2 linked regions of the Tamandua tetradactyla genome follow. The protein of the gene in region 2 binds, or shares a complex with, the protein of the main gene of each other region. Links are inferred from orthologs where the notes say so. Each region holds a gene or a part of one and is shown on either strand. Other genes may lie near its edges.

Region 1 (8,645 bases), on a different chromosome or scaffold from region 2:
TTGAAACCAGAGGGCCTTTAACTTCTTAGTTACTAAATACTAAAAAAAAAAGCTGTATTTTATAACCTAGGAAGATTGTGATGATACCATGGAAACTGTACCACATATAGAACTATCATTAAATAGATGGAAAAATGGCCCAGAGGGTAGAAACTTGAATTAACCATAAACATCAAAATATGAGAATAACTCTCAAAGGTGATGCCATAGCCCAAACTCTCATCAAGCCCATTGACTGTGGATGGAATAAAAGTCGGCCCAGTTCAAGAAAAGAAGGCCTGTATCTGAATATTATTTTACCCTTAAAGGCAATTACATGGCATTGTGCCAAGAGGAGACAAAAGCACTTCTAATTAATCATGAGAATAGCATCCAGAGGAGAAAACATTTCTCACCCTTATAGAGAAGGCATCACCATCAAAACAATGGAGCCAAAGTATTCAGAGAACTGAAACCCTGGTCTGGTGATCTGGAGCCAACCAGAGTTTAAACTGGGTTGAAGTGTGCTCTGGCGATCTAGAAACCGAACCCATTTAGTCTTAGATCACTGAAAGTGTCCTCAACTTGGACATTATCTTCAGGACATAGGGCAATGATAACTCCCCTTATTCCCATGCCACCAAGTTAAGAAGCATAAGTTTATAGAGAACTGGAATTTATATTCTAAATTCTGAATTCTGGTCCTCAATCTACCATTAATTTATTGCACCCATTTGAACAAACTGGCTAACTTCCGTTTCCTGGGAAAATCTGAGTAGTAATGAAAGCATCACACCACAAATCAGACTATGACCAGAATTCATGTGAGAATGACATTTAAATGAAAAAGCAGTAGATTCGCCAAAGAGAGAATATTTAATTACAATATTTAATTTCTAAAGTTGATTTGATTCTTGGAAATGGTTAAAATATTTGGGGACCTTATTTCGTTTTTAGACCATTTCCAATGATCAGGTTTTCTGAAAATTCAAATCAGGCACTGGCATTACTAGAGTTAATATATACATATATATATATTTTTAAGTGTCCATAATTTGCAAGAGTCCTGCTACATGTTGCTACATGTGAAGATGGAATAAGGTACATGAAAACTTTCAGTAAATTAATAGATCCAAATCTCCTGGGAAGAGGTCTAAGTAATCACACAATTACATTTTAGATTGTACTATAAAATGTATATATTTATATACATTTATTATATTATCCAGATTGTCTAAGTACATCACATTAAATTCAGCTCATAGAAGTCATATGATAACAATAATTTCATTTCCTACTACTGAGAAAATAATGCGTTTGTTTCCCCAAGCAAACAGCTGGAACACAGTACCTAATGCCGTTACAAATGGCTTTAAGTGGGTATCCCTCATAGAAGCCTTCCACTAAATCAGGAAAAGAAAGTGCTAAATGGGATCTGTGAACAGTGGAAAAGGAAAAAATTGCCTTCCAAATGGTTAAAGAACAGCAAGATATCTCTTCAAGTACAAAAATTCTCAAAAGAATAGCATTAGTTGCTTAATCTTAAAAAAATTATCATCTTATTTAACTGAGAAAGTACAAATATTGCTATTCTGAGATAACTCATGCCAAAGGGAGAGGGAAAAGAGATCATGTCCACTCTATTTTCCTTCAAACTAACAGGATTGTGAGTGTTTTTAATGATTTGGTCTTTAAAGGGCATAATTTGCTTTAGAAGGAGCATACTAAAGATGAAATATAAAAGCTTCATTATCCACATTGTGAAACTTCTCTTTTGTTTCACTCCATTTGCCTTTTAATACTTACACATATCAACATGTCCTCAGATGATCAAGGGACAAAAATTGGTTGTACTATTTCGTCAAGTCCACATTTGCCTAGGATCACAAAACTGGTTCATTATGTTATTAGTTCAAAAGAGCTCCTTGGTAGTTTCTTGATCTCCTCCCTACCCTACCCTCCAGCACACACACACACACGCATGCGTGTGCAACCATGCACATGCACACGCATACACTCCACATCTTTCTTAAGCTCCTTAAGCAAAATGTCTAGATGACCCTTAAAATGAAATGCTGAAAGGCTAGAATTTTGTTTCCCTCAAATTCTTCATTCTCCTCTCCCACTTCTCTTCCTGATTCCACTCCTATATTCTCAAGATATCCTCAAAGTTACAAAGAAGCTGTTAACAGAGATAGGAGTGAATGAACAAAAGAATGTATATAAACTCTGTGTGTGTGTGTGTGTGTGTGTGCGTGTGTGTGTGTGTGGTGTGTTAAGGAGAAAGCATGTGAGCACGTTAAGGAAAGAAAGCTCTGTATTCGATGTGTTCAGTAGAGAAGACGTTGAACACACTCCTCTATTTTAAGTAATTTTGGCTTATTAGAAGCATCATCTCTGATAGAAGCTGTAAGTATCTGGCAAATTAGGAATAAATGTATCCTAGGTCCATGTGGGTGAAATAGAAAGTTCAAGTGTCTGTGCCCTGCAGTTATTAAAGTTAACATTGAAATGAGGGATGGGATTCAAGGTGGCTCATTTAAACCTAGGACTTACCTATTCCTAGCACCCTTTCTGGGCTGGCAGGCAGGGCGCACAGTGCTCAGTTCAGCTGGCACTGGGAGGTCCTCACACCCTACCTAGAAATGCCAGCTAAGAATCATCAGTTGGCAAGCCCCAGGGGCAATCAGAAGCAGAAAAGAATGAAAAATGAGACCCGCCTGCTCAGGCCGCCTCTCTTCTCTATCCAGCCACAGACACACCTACTAAAGCATTAGGTTTTGCAAAGAGCCAAAAAGCATTCCTCCAACCCACCCTGGCATATTCTACAGCTGCTAGCAGAAACACCGCCCAAATGAATGCAAAACATTACAAAAGCTTCTTTCTTGCCACTCATCTAAATGTACCCTAACTATCCTGACCTAAATCCCCCAAATTTGCTTTAATTTGCCTGTGCATCCGGTTCAGTTTAGAAAGCAATTTTAGCAAAGACACCAGGTAGCCCCTCTCCCATCTACCACCATAATCTGGCGACGCTCAGAAAAGTGGGCAGGGGTGAAGAGAAAATGAACTCCAAGACGCCACAAAAAAAAAAAAAAAAAAAAAAAAATCGCACATTCCCTTTCACTTACTTTGAGTTGCAAATGTTCTCTCCCGCGCTCAGGCTGCCTTTGTTGGAAGGGGCGAGGTTTTCCGCTCCCGGAGTCCAGGTACGGGACTCGCTGCTGCTCCCGCCGGCTGCTGCTGCCTTCGCTCGCTGCTGGACTACTGACTCACTGGTCTCTCTCTTTTTCTTTTCTCCTCTCCCCACTTTGGATTTTCCTCCGTTCTGGAACTCCCTTGGCGGGATTTTTGGACTGGAAGGCGGGGAACCTGATCCTGCCTTGGACTCAAGTACTCCCTGACAGGGAGTGAACGGAAAGGAAATGGAGAATGGGAGGGATGAGAGGGACGGGCAGAGATTACGCGGGCCGGGCTAGGGAGGGAGAGCGCGGTTGAGAGCTGATTGGGAGTTTATTAAAAGGAGAATACTCCAGGGGCCGTCTCTCCCCTACACGAGCAAGAAAGCGGATTTGAAGGAATAGGTGATGAGATGTAACATTGTTTTGTTTTGTTTTTGTTAGCAAAGAAAATGCACCCCGTATTTCTTTTCTAAACTTCAAGCATTAGCTATTTTTTTTGGAGGAGTAGATACCCCAGTTTACAGAGTAGGCTGTCTTGAGTATAAAATCGATGGCATTTCAAGTTACAATATTGGCCCCTTTAGAAGCAAATGATTTGGAGGATGAAAATGCGCACTCTTAAAATCCTGGCTTTTCATTTCTGCAGATTCCCTTCCTACACGTGTAACAAGTCCTAGTTTCCTCGAATGTCAGTCCCATTACATGTTCACTCACCTGCATGTCACAAAATGTGCAAGGTACTTTTCTGTGCTTGTCACAAAGAATGGCAGATGCCTGAAAATTCCCAATTAAGTGTCACTTTCCTTTAGGGGACTCTTTCTCCTTTTGAATTGCTTGGTACCTTTACTGACCTATTTAGGGACATGCCTTTGACACCCAGACATTAGGGATTAATCAATGTAACTCAAACTCTGTGGTTTGTCTAACTCAGAGCCTGGGTTTCATGGCTCTCTGGAATTCCCATCTCCTTCAGTTAAAGGAAGATTCTAAGGTGATTAATCTAGAATTGTTTTAGTGATACAAAAAATGAATGTGATAAAAATGAGATATTGTGTAAAATGCTTAAGAATTATAAAACAAATTTACACAAACATTCTCAAAATATAAAAAGGGCAATTTTTCTTCCATTCATCAGTTGTTGCTTCCTGCTTCTTGCATCACATTTTCACATCCTTCAGTTTACCGTTTGATGGTGTACACCCCAAATGCAGTTGTAAAATATCCTTCCATTTCCCATAGATCAGAGATTACATCTCCTTAAGTCAATTTCAAAAATATGTATTATGTACCTCATTTAACTCTTAAACACTTAGAATCATTCTTAAACCCCCCAAATTTGAAGAATTGTTTTGTAGCAAGTAGTTTTTAGGGACTCCTGAGCCTTTATATTGACTGGTTATCTGGATGAGTGCCTCATAGAGTAGCTGTCTGGGTAGAATTTTTAATAAGTAAATAAGTGAAGCTTTTTTTTGTCTTTTTAAGAGAAGGATAAGCAATTCATTTGCACGCCTCCAGTCTATCTCCATAACCAACTTCTCCAAATATACTCTTGTGATTGTTAACGTCAAATGTCAACGTGTCTGGGTCATGGTATCCAGTTGTTTTGTCAAGCAAGCACTGGCCTGATTGTTGTTGTGACGGTATTTGATAGATGAGTTAGCATCTGTTGTCAGTTAATTGCATCTAACTCTGACTGCATCTACAAGCAACAAAAGAGATAACTTTCAGCAACAAGGGAGGCTCCTCATCCAATCAGTTGAAGGTCTTAAAAGCCAGAACTGAGATTTCAGAAGTTAAAAGGAATGTCTACCTCTACTTCAACCAGCTAGCTTCCTCTAGGGAATTCAGTTTCACATTCATTGGAGTTTCCAACTTGCATCTTGACCTGCAAAATACAGACTTGCTAATCTCTATAGTTGCATGACCAATTCCTATGATAAACTTATTCTGCTTCTCTGGAGAACCTTAATACAGCCCACCCTATCTTCAAATGAAATAAATAAGGAACTAACTGCTTTCCTCTATACACAGTTTTCAGGTTGCCTATTTTCCTTTTGTGATTCCATTTTCCTGATGAAGCAAGCAATGCTTGCTTTAATGTAATTTCATTAAATTAAATTGTGGAAGAATCACATTGTTATTTTTTAATACTTTTTCCAGGTCCTTCCTTAAAAGGACTTCTCAACATTTCCTGTCAGTCCCTAGAGGTGGAGTTTCCAGGCCATTAAACAGAGGGTTGTCTATTTCCTTTTACTTCTTAAACTTTTTCTGAGCATCTACAAAGATAACCTGTTGCTACCAGGTGAACAATGTTAGCTTTATTGTGGTGTTCCCTATAGGGCTGATAAAGTAAGTATGAGATTCCCAAAGCCTTCTGCTCAATTATATGTATTCTATCAAAATATACCTCTATTCAAATAGGTATCATAAAATTTATTTACATCATTGATTTTCACTTGGTATGTTTGCCCTCCAGGAGACATTTGGCAAAGGTTGGAGACATTTTTGATTGTCACAGCTGCAACTTGGTGGGGAGGTGCTACTAGTATGCACAGGCTAGAGGTGCTACCAAATATCCTACAAGTAACAGAGAATTATTTGACCCAAGATATTAATAGGGTTGAGATTGAGAAACCCTAACTAATGTTATTAATCACTGAATTTTAAAAATGTAAAGAAAGATTCAAGAGTTGTTTTTTGAAAGAAATAGAAATCTGTAAAATTGAGATTAATACTAATTTCATTCAATCCATGGTTTATGGAGAATTTAAGTAGAGCATTAATTTAAATGCCCTCTGAATGTTCAATCTCAAATCCACACTTCATTCTATTCCATAGTCACGGCTCTTTTGTTTTAAGATTTCAAGTTGTTCAGTCATTTCACCAACATTCTTTGAGCACTTATTACATTTTTGTGCATTGGTAAGACTCATGAATAAAAAAAACTAAAAAATTACTTGTTTCATATAACTTACTTTTTTTCATTGTTTTCTTTATTAGAGAAGTTGTGGGTTTACAGAACAATTGTGGATAAAATATAGAATTTCCATATACTGTACCATCACCAACACCTTGCATCAGTGTGGAACATTTGTTACAATTAATGATAGCACATTTTTATAATTGTACTACTAAATAAAGTCCATGGGTTAACTTGTGTAGTGTAGTTCCATGTTTGTTTGTTTTTATAATTCTGTTACCATATGTACATTCTAACATTTCTCCTTTAAATAATATTCAGATATATATTTTAGTGTTGTTAGTTGTCTTCACAATATTGTGCTACCATCACCACCATCTGTTACTAAAATATTTCCATCATTCCAAATAGGAACCACGTATATTTTAAGTCCTGGCTTCTCATTCCCTATTCCCACCTTGTCTCCTGGTAACCTACAGTCTATGAGTTTGCTTATTTTGTTTCAAATCAACGAGACCATACAATATTTGTCCTTTTGTGTCTGCCTTATTTCACTCAACATGATGTCTTTAAGGTTTATCTTTGTAGTGTACATTAAAGATGTGATATGCTTCACGGAAAAAATAAGATACTGAAGATTAAATAAGAATTAAATAAAAATGCAGATTTGGGGGAGGAAAGACTCCCTGGGGTGAAATTGGAGTGAAGGCTTACAAAAGTTGAGGTGACAAGCCAAGCAAGTATTTGGGAGAAGAGTCTCTAGACTGCAGGATCAGTGAATGTAAAGGCCTTGAGTCCAGACCTTGCCTGGTGTCTTAGAGAAACTGTAAGGAGACCATTGTAGCTGGAATCCAATGGCTGAGGAGGAGTTTGGGAGAAGGTGAGGTTGGGGAGTTGACAGACCAGATCATGCTCAGCCTTTGGCCACTGTAAGAAATATACATTTTTTCTGATTGAAATGGGGGCTTTGGGTAGAGGATTAAAAAAGCCTGACTCCATTTCACAAAGTCTCTGATGTGTTGAGAGTAGAGCACATGAGGTCAAGGGTGAAAGCACAGATCCTAGCTGGGAGACTGTTGCAATCATGCCTTGTCCAAATATCTTCCCCTTGTTCCTATAGTTTACCCGTTAACATTTTCTCTGTCCCCAAAATTTCCTGTCAGAAGTTATTTTGGCTTCCTAATGCTTGGTCTTTCCAGGTACAATTAATGAGGCCCTTGCATAAGAGTTTCCAGACTAAAATATAACTAATATAAGATGATTCAAAATCATAGAAATTATAACATGTCCTAAGGCTGTGTTGAAAATGAGGCTGCTAATTTTACGGTGACAAATACAAGGAGAAGTGTGATCAGCATGAAGTTAAAAAAATGTTAAGAAACATGTTGAAAAATTTGTCATTGTGTCTCTTGGATTGCCTGCTTGGCAGAAAATTCAGATTCTTGATTATCGCTCTGGGTTCTTCAATATCCCTAGAATGCAAAAGGGCAATTCATCAAGCTATCATAGTTTGATAATATTCTCATTAATTCATTTCTCTTTCTCTCCCTGAAATATTTCAAATTTAATAACTTTGCTGTGACCAGATTATAAAACCTACTTCTCTCTTAGCTATATTTTTGTAATATGTATGCTGTTTTTTGATTGGAAATAAAAAAACAACTAAAACTAGTTTAAATAAGTCAGGAATTTATCTCACTTAAAATATAGGTGGATGAAGTCTGTATTTCAGTCTTCAAGGACGTAGGTCTTTCCATCTTTTAACTTTGCATTTCAGTTTTTGATCTAGGACTCCTTGGGATGGTTACAAGAAACTTCAGGCATATTCGATTACAGTAAACAAGGCCAAACTCTAGTAGAGTATAGGTTTGCTTCCCTAGTCAGGTAGCCAAATAAAATTATACTAGAAAAAGGAAGAGGTGGAAAGGATCTGGGAAACAATGAACAATGCCTGCTAAAATTTCTCCCTGTAATTTAATACATTTGCAGTTCATCAGTCTCTGAATAATCTAAGTAACTTGATTTAAGCTCCTTAAACTTGCCTTCCAGTAAAGAACTGATAAGATCAATGTTCTAAATTGGCAGAGCTGAGAAACAGACCTTAGACAATGGTTTCACCCAGGCTCACTCATCCCAGATAATCAGACTTGAAATATCCTTGGTCAGAGATCACAAGGAAACAAAACTACAGATCCTCAGGGACATGGATGCCAAAGTCCTTAACAAATATTATCAAACAAAATCAGCAATTTAGAAAGAACATAATACATCATGATGGATGATATCTATCCCAAGAATGCAAATTTGGTTTAACATTTTAAAATCAGTTAATATAATTCATCACATTAAGAAAATCAAGTAGGAGGGAAAGGAACACATGATGTAGAAAACATATTTGACAAAATTCAATACCCCTTCATGAAAAAAAATTCTCAGTAATTTGAGCATATAAAGGAATATCCTCCTAATGAGAGTTATCTATGGAAAATCTCTAGCTAATATGAGACTTAGCAGAGAAAATGAAAGCTTTCCATCTCAGATAAGGGACAAAATAAGAATGACCA
Region 2 (8,872 bases):
CAGGCTCACTCTACACCTTCCTCAGAGGTGGGGTGCCCCTAATGGTATCAGTGCTCCTCTCTGTGAATCACCTCCCTTCCCTTCCTCTTACCTCTGCTACTTGATAATTTAGTTTGTTGACTCTCCTGGTTTTTCTTCCTCATTCTAGGTAAGAAGGGTAGGGAGGAGACCTGTAGGTCCCTTTGTCTGTCTGGAAGTCAGTGCTTTCCCAGAAGCCTCCCCAGGCTCTCCTTTATATCTCATTGGCCAGAACTGGTCACATGGCCACGCCTAGCTGCAAGGCAGGGTGGGAAAGGGGTATCGAGCTTTTCCAGTCTTTATTGGAGAGGGACGCAGGAGAGGGTTTGGGGTTACCTGCTAAAGGATCTGCCCCAAGAGGTAGAAATCAACCAATCTGCCTGCGTGGTTCATATGGAATATATGAAATGGTTTGAAACTTTAGTGCGTGCTACAAAAGTTGATTTAAAAATTGGATATATGTCCTGCAACCCACTTAGAGAGTCACTGGGCAATGAGTATGGGAAGTTCCAAAATGCACATCTAATTTGCCCTTGTCATTTCATCTTAAAAAAATAGTATCTGGAGGAAAGAACTCCAAAAAAGCAAAAATGCTGTATGTAGAGAATTATTCAGTGTAATATTGCCTAACATAGTAAACCACTTAAATCTCTTTACTTAATGGAATACTACATACCCATTAAAATGAAGCTATATGAAAATCTCTATGCTACAATGTTATACTAAAATGATGCAGAATGAAACCTACCCCATCATGACAAATTGATAAATGATATCAGTACAGGGCTGAAACCTGGGGGGGAGTTCAGAAAAGCTGATAAGTTATGGTGGTTGGACTGTGTGTTGTATTTTCTTTAATATTGTCATAATACTGTTTGTATAGTCAATACAACTGGGAGAAGAATGCACAATTACACTAACTTCCTAGGCCTGACTCAACCTCTCTCAGGTTCAGTGGGATCAGATACCTTAGGATGTACCTGACCCACTTTCCAGAAATGACCCGTCCCATAGAGTTGAAGAGAGATTGCTGTCCTTTGACATTTGCCTCCACCCCTAGAAGCAAAAGCATCCCCATAAAAAAGTTCATGGTTCTCCTCCACCCAACCAGTGCAACTTCCTTCCTGTCTTACTCTAGGAGTGAGTAGTTTTCTCCCTGGTCCTCACTGGGTCAGGCCCTGAGCTACTTCTGCTTTTGAGGGGTGAAGTAAGAAGAACTATTTCAGGGGCATAGCTGTCCCTGCCCTGCAAACAGCTGCTGGTCTTGAATGTGATCTTGGTAAGAATACCCATGACTCTGGTAGGGCGGTTTCTCTCACCCGCCTATATTTGAACCCCTGCTTGGACAACTGAGGAAGGAGGGTGGAACAGATTTCTAACTGAGTAACAGTGAGGCAACTTTGAGGTCGACAAACTTTTTATGTTTCACTGGACTGTGTTAACCACAACATTGGTCAACTTAAGGCACAGTAAGTAGAAAAATTATTGCAAATACGCTTTGACATCTATTATCTAATTGAGTTGTCACAACAACCCCAAGAGATGAATACTATTATTACCTGAATTTCTCAGATGAGGACTAAGGGGTTCATAGAGTAGCTATGAGGTCCAAATTCACACATTTATAAAACCAGCATTTTGAACTCTTAGTCTGACCCCAGACCTCAAAGACTTAGCCGGTTTGTTGTAGATGACAGTCAAGTGAAGGTTTTCTTGACAACCTGGTGCAACGGAAATGAATATTTTATTTGTGCTTCCCAGAAACTTCTCAGGAGGGTGGCTCCTGTGTGGCCAGTTCCGATGAATGTAGTTGGTTAAGCAAATTGGTGGAGTTTAGACAGAGCTTAATTGTCTGTGTAACCAAGGGAGAGAGATTTTCAGGGGTGGGTATGGGAGATTGTACTGAGAAAGAGAGGAGCTATGATTCTGGGTGATATTGGGGCAGCAGGAGTTGAGGGAGACCCAGCCAACCCCATTCCTTTGAGATCACACTGAATAATTGGAGGGAGAACTGACATCTTTATTATATTGTCATGTCATCTGTGAATGTGGCCTACCTCTCTATTCTTTTATGCCTTTCAGGAAAATCCAAGTTTTTAAAAATAGAGTTCTTCCATATTGCTTGCTAGATTCATGCCTAAATATTTTGTAGTATTTTTGGTGCTACAAATGGTGTCTTTCCTATTATATTTTCTGACTAGATCAGAAATAAGAATGGCAAATAAGAAATGAATTAGATTTTTATATATTGATCTCACTGAACAAGATTAGTTCTAACAAGTTGTCAGTTAACGACCTTGGATTTTCACAATAGTTGATCATACCCTCGGCAAATAATGACCTTTTTGTCCACTGAATCCCCCTCTAGGATGAAACAGAGTTATGCTTGGATGTTATTCCTTCCCATCCTGTTTTCTCTTGAGAAAGCAATGAAAGGGGTCAGAACAGTTCTTTCTCTTGAAGCAATTTCCATATGGTCCCTCACTCAGCATATCTTATCACTTTCTGCAAGTTAACTCTGATCTTCTCTTACTAATGATCAGCTTCTTCTGCTTATTTATAACTTCATTTTATGCAAGCCTTCTCCAAACTCAGATCTACAACCTGATGTTTCAGCCTCAGCTCCCACTGCTAACTGGAAATTCTTCTCAGTAGGTCTTAGTTCTTAGTCCAAATTCCCAGGGAATTTGAGTGGTTCCAACTTATCTTCCCATTTCATGTTACCTCATTCATTCAGTTAATTTTCATTATAAACCAGGCACTGTTCTGTGCACTGGAGATAGAGGAGTGAGCAAGACAGAAAAAAATTTCTGCAGTCATGGAGCTTATGAACTCTAGTAGGGGAATCAGACAATAGACAACTAAATTCATATATAATATAATTATATATTATGTATATTTTATATATTATTTATATAAATATTTTATATATTTGTATAATATAGCATAATTTCAGGTAATAATAAGTGCTATGAACAAATATCAAGGATCTGTAACAGATGCTGTAGTGGTTGCACCCATATCCCATCAGCATTTAACATTCTTGTGCAAGCTGGCCAGATTTCCAGCTGCTATTACCTGCAACTGCTTACCTGAGAACTTTCCGGCTGGAGCCTCCTCTGGCTGGCAATGCCAGAAAATCAGGGCTTCCCTAGAGAGCAGCCTTCAACCAATAGCTGATGCAAGTTGTGAATAAAAATCTAGTTCCCGTGCTTCTCAGGTGGGATAACTCTCAGACTTGCTCTACGCTGGCTGCCAGAATTCCTCAGTGAATTGAGTTTCAGTTGCCCACGCAGATAACTTGTTTCATAACCCACTTTTTATGGCCTCCTTCCCTTTTCCCTTTCCCACCAGTATTTCCTGGATCACCTCCTAAATAAATTGCTTGCATTCAAAACCTTGTCTCAGGATCCACTTATAGGCGAATCCAAGCTAAAGATGATATCAGGAGTGGAGTGGGGGCCAGGAAGGAGAGAATGAGTATCGGTGTGTAGGTGGGCTGGCCTGGTCGGGTGCCCACCATGGTCTCTGGTCACATGCACACCCACTGGGGGGTCGTTGAGAAAGAATCTGCGGGCTGGAGTTATTCTGAGACTTTGCCTGTACCTTACAGAGGGTGGGCCCTGCTTGGAATAGAGAGGGCCTGCCAGTGCTGAGCTAGAGCCGCCCCTGTGGTGGTCAGAGCGTGAAAGCTTTTGCCAAAACCAACCGTGCTTATCTCTTAGACTACGTAGCACCACACTTTGGTGTGTATTTTCTAGTGGATCTAGAATGTTCCTGTATCCTCAGCCCTTTTACCTTTTAATACAAATAGATATTTTGTTGTTTTAAATGGTTTCCTGGTAGGTTTTCTTTTTCTTCAGATTAGAAAAGTCATTCATTTTTTGTTGTGATTTAAAAGTTTTAAGTAAAAAAAAATACAGAAGAAAATTAAAATCATCCCGCGGCAGATTGGAGATGGCCACAAATCCTTTGACTTTCAATGAGAACTGCCTGGCAAGGTCAGCCAACAGACAGACCTAGACAATATAATATTAAATTGCTGTATGAGGCCAGTAAATGTTGGGGTCATTTGCTATGCTGCAAAAGATAACTGGAGCACACCTGTGGCTCTGTCATCTGCAGATAACCACTGTTAGCATTTTGGTTTTCAAACAGCTGATTTTAAAACAGATGCACAGATTTTTTTTTAACTGTTTACAGACAATCATGCGTAAAATACAGGTTTCCCAAACCCCCCACAACCACCTTGCATTACTGTGAAACATTCGTTACAATTGAGGACAGCGCATTTGTATAATTGTACTATTAATTAAAGTCTATTAACCCTATTAACTTACGGTTCCGTATTTGTGTAGTGTAGTTCCATGGATCTTAAAATTTTTTAAAAATTCTGTTGTTATATTTCCCTTGGGAAAATGTTAGATTGTATATATGACAACAATGTTGTGCTACCATCACCTAAACATTTCCATCATTCCAAATAGGAACCCTGTACATTTTAAGCCATAACTTCCCATTACCTTTTCCCACCCTGTCCCCTGGTAACCTAAATCCTAGATTCTGACTCTTTAAGTTTACTTATTCTAATTGTTTCAGCTCAGTGAGATCATACACTATTTATCCTTTGTATCTGGCTTATTTCATTTCACATGATGTCGTCAAGGTTCAGCTATGCTTTCACATGTATCAGGACTTCATTCCTCTTTACAGCTGTATAATATTCCATTGTATATATATATATACACCATGTTTTATTTATCCATAACACACAGAATTTTTATGGGCTTTTATTTTTTTCCATCAGCAAACATTTGTTTCTATTTGAATATTGGGAAAATAGAACTAGGGACAAAGGAAAAGTTATGAGAGAAAGAATAGAGAAGTTATCTGCTTGAGAATCACATATGGTCATACACAAGATATGGTTTGGTGTTCTATATATTTCATAGAATTTCATATTGCAAGTATCTTTCCATGTCTTTGAAAACAGATTTACAAGTGACTGCACTCCATGGAATGGGACTCCCAACAGAGTGGGACATTATTTAACCACTCCCCTGTTGCTGGATATTTAGGCTGTTAGTAGTTTCTCACTGTAATAAACAATGCTGCTGCACCCAAGTTTGTACATATATCTTGGACTGCACTTCTGAGTTATTCCTTGGGGTAAAAACTTGAAGGGGAAAATTCTTGGGCAAAGGGTTTCAGCATTTTAAAGCTTTTTCTTTCTTAAAGCAAAATATCCAAAAGGCACTGGGTTTTTTTGGTTTGGTTTTTTGGGCACTGGATTTTTCTGCTCCTGAATTGTCCTTGTTGATGGCTACAGAGGAAGACAATTCTGGCTGAAGGATGCCGGTGCTTCTGTGGGCTAGAGGAGGGACATGTTACAAAGTTTGCTTGGATTGTTTAGAACATATGTTCCAGGAGGCATCCTCCAAGTCCATCCAGCTTGCTTTTCACAATGCTTTGGCCAATGTCAGAAGTAGGTGGGCAACACATGACACCTTCTTGATAGGGATTTTGATGGTTTCAGCCAGGAAGCTGGGCAGGAAGGGAGAAGGCTGCGCACAGTCCCAGGAGGAAGGTCAAGCAGGGCTGTGTGTTCACTGAGTCCCGCCCTCTTCCTTTGGGTCTCTAATCAAACTTCTGCCTTCTACTTCTCACTTTCCACCCTTCCTGGCTTTGGTGACTTCCTTGAGATAGCTCAGTGGTACCCAAGCTCAGCGGTTCCTGCTCCTTCCAGCCATGACTCGAAGAGTTCTACTGTTGACAGGTGCCTGAGGGGGCTGAGGAGGCTCTTAGGGTGGGGAGGAAGTTGACTTTTGGGTCTGTGAGTGGAGATAGAGGGCACAGAATATCTAGGGGTTAGACTGGGGGTGGGAACAAATGGAACTTGGGGAAAGATAAAGGGTTTAAGAAGCAGAGTGCTGCTAGTTCAAGATGAGCTGTCCAGAGAAGAGCATGGACAAATGACTAAATCTGTAGCCTGGGCAAGGAGGTTTGATGGTTTCCTTCACTTTATGGATGAGGAAACTGAAGCCCAGAGAGGTGATGTGACTTGCCCAAGTGCACGCAGCTGGTATGGGACTCCTCTCCCAGAGCATTTCCTCTTGGACTCCACCTTCCATCCCTACTTTGCCTCCAGTCCTATTTTCCAGGTGTCAATGTTTGTTAAGTGACTGATAGATCAAAATGATTTGAATTTGTTGTCTTTTAAGCCTGTTTTGCTGAGAATGAGCTGAAGGAGGGAAGGAAATTCTTGAGAGTTATGTAGGAAGGAAATTACCCAACAGAACGTTTATAGAAACTTGATTGTTGGGCAAATCAGTGGTGTGGGGGCGCTGTGAGAAAGGGTGATTTGTGAGTTCAACAAGGAGGGTGAAGCGCAGAGAGCGGCTCATTGTGTCCCTTCATGATGACCCAAGTAGACCTCAGGCCAGGGGTTGGCAAACTATCCTTGTGCAATCTGTGAGCTAATATCAGCTTTTAAGATGAACATTGGTAATTGATTTGATGATAGGGAATGCTAACTTTGCACCCCAATTAAGCAAAATGTTATCCCCCCCAAAGAATTCTATTTGTTTCATTAGTAGACCTTCAGGGTCAAAAAATTATACTAAATTATTATTATGATATTTTGAATTTCCTCAATTAAAATTTTTGTGGCAATGGGTTTTCTCTCTTGTTATATACATATATGTAATATACCCTATTTTGACTCTTATCCATCAAAGCCTAAAATATCTGCTATCTGGGCCTTTACGGAAATGTGTGGTCACCCCTGTCTCAGGTTATCAGTGCTGGACCTGGGAGGCAAGACATTTGAGTAGGGGGCACCCAGGAGGAAGTTGCTTGGAGCAGGACGGGACTCTGCTTGCTTTGTTGTTCCCTTTACTCCCGCTGACCCTCACCCCCTTGTTCTCCCTCCAGCCCTGTCCTTGTGTCATGGGTTCAACCTGGACACTGAAAACTCAAAGATCTTCCAAATCAACGCAAGGGGCTTTGGGCAGAGCGTGGTCCAGTTTGAGGGATCCCGGTAAGAGCCTCAGGTGGAGTTTCCTGCCTCCTGTGCGTTCCCTCCAAATACCTGAAAAAAAAAAAAAGACAATTTCCTTGATATATATTTTTATTGTGAAATATAACAGATACACAAAGAAAAGAAAGAAACGGCAATAATTTTCAAAGTAGACATCAACAGGCAGCTACAGAACAGAACAGATTTCAAAGTTTGTTACGGGTCCGTTCCAACTATTTCAGGTTTTCCCTTCTAGCTGGCTCCAAAACTCTGGAGGCTAGAAGGAGTATTAATAGAGTGATTCAACAGTCATACTCGTTTATTAAATCCTGTTTTGTCTGTTATAGCTCCTCCTTCTCCTTTGATTCTTCTCTCAATCGATAGGGATCTTTAGGCAGTGCCTCTTCTGACTTTTTCATGTTGAGAAAGGGTATTGACACCAAAGAATAGGGGGGGTGTAATTAGCTGATAATCTTGGAGAGGCTGGTCCCTCTGGGTTTCGGGATTTATCTGACCTTGGAACCCTTTGGAAATTATAGGTTCCAGAAAAGCAAACAGTGCCTGAAACTATTAGAGAAACTCAGTTTGAGCCCTAGGTGTTCTTAAGAGTTAAAGGGAGTGATATTGGTTGGGGTTTAGCAAACCATGGCAATTAGCATTATCTAACTGAAGCTTGCATAGGAGCAGCCTCCAGAATAGCCTCTTGACTCTATTTGATCTCTCTTAGCCACTGATGCCTTGTTTTACTACAATTTTACTGGTTTTGTTCAGGAAGGGGTTGTCGATCCCAAGATGCCAGGGCCAGACTCATCCCGGGGTGTCACGCCCCAAGTTGTCAGGGAGACTTTCACCCCTGAATGTCATGTGCTAGTAGCGGAGAGGGTAATCATTTTCCTTGCAGAGTTGGGCTAAGAGAGAGAGAAGCCACATCTGAGCAATGAAAATATTTTTTGAATTTTAAGTTGTAGGTTCTAAATTCAAAAGATACAAAAAGGTGTAACAGTAAAAAGTCTCTTCCTCATTCCTTTCATTCAAGTCTCTTCCCAGGAAAGAACCACAAGATAAATGGTTTCTTGTGTATAGCACATTGTGTATAGCACACGTTACACCTTATACCAGAGACTGGCCAAACCACAACTTGTGGTCTCTGTCTGGTTGTAAGTTTTATTGAGCTGAGACTGTATGTCCTGTAAAGTATAAATTATTTACTATCTAAACTTAACAGAAGTTTGCAGACATCTGCTTATACTGTCCCTTGCTTCCGCCCCCCTTTCTTAATATAGTTTGGTGATTTTACCAAATAAGTACATAAAGAACCTCATTCTTTCTTATGCTTGCATTGTGTTTCTATTATATAGAGATACTGTGATTTACATTTATAGTACATTAAATCTCTTCTTATTGTGCATGTAGATTATTTCCAAACTTTGCTATACAAACAAAGCTGTCACTATGCCTTGTTTATGTGCAAGTATATTTGGAAATAAATTCCTAGAAGTGGATTGCTGGATCAAAGAGTACACGTGCAGATTGCACATAATTTTAATAGATTTTTCCAGATTAGCTTCCATAGAGGTGACCTCAACTTACATTTACAGCAGAAATTTATGAAAATACCTACTTCCCTAGCCATTTGGTAGCCCAATGGGTTATCAATATCATGGACTTTTTCAAATTTGATAAGTGTGAAATGGTATCCTAATTAGTTTCAAATTGCATTTCTCTTTTTATGAGTGATATATTGCGTTTCCTTCTCTGTGAACACTTTTTCTCATCTGCTGCTCATTTTTCTATTAAACTATTGTTTTGTTTTACTTATTGGTTTCTAAGAGCTTT

Evidence for each region.
Region 1: the proteins of ITGAM (region 2) and PTN are in contact, whole or in part, in an NMR structure (PDB 8VOH), measured with the Homo sapiens proteins. The link is inferred for Tamandua tetradactyla from reciprocal best matches to the Homo sapiens genes ITGAM and PTN. Residues at the interface, in NP_000623.2 of Homo sapiens: Pro273, Asp276, Arg277, Gly279, Val280, Ile281, Arg282, Tyr283, Lys306, Pro307, Arg309, Asp310, His311, Ala334, Ile335, Glu336, Gly337, Thr338, Gln339; in NP_001308315.1 of Homo sapiens: Val56, Pro57, Thr58, Ser59, Asp61, Cys62, Gly63, Leu64, Thr66, Glu68, Thr79, Lys81, Thr82, Gln83, Arg84.

Annotation. Positions count from the first base shown.
Region 1 is NC_135327.1:180,237,026-180,245,670, forward strand, and holds the start of PTN (pleiotrophin), read right to left. Parts: upstream 3,418-8,645; 5' UTR 3,111-3,417; intron 1-3,110.
Region 2 is NC_135349.1:23,267,060-23,275,931, reverse strand, and holds the start of ITGAM (integrin alpha-M), read left to right. Parts: upstream 1-5,697; 5' UTR 5,698-5,766; coding exon 5,767-5,794; intron 5,795-6,951; coding exon 6,952-7,057; intron 7,058-8,872.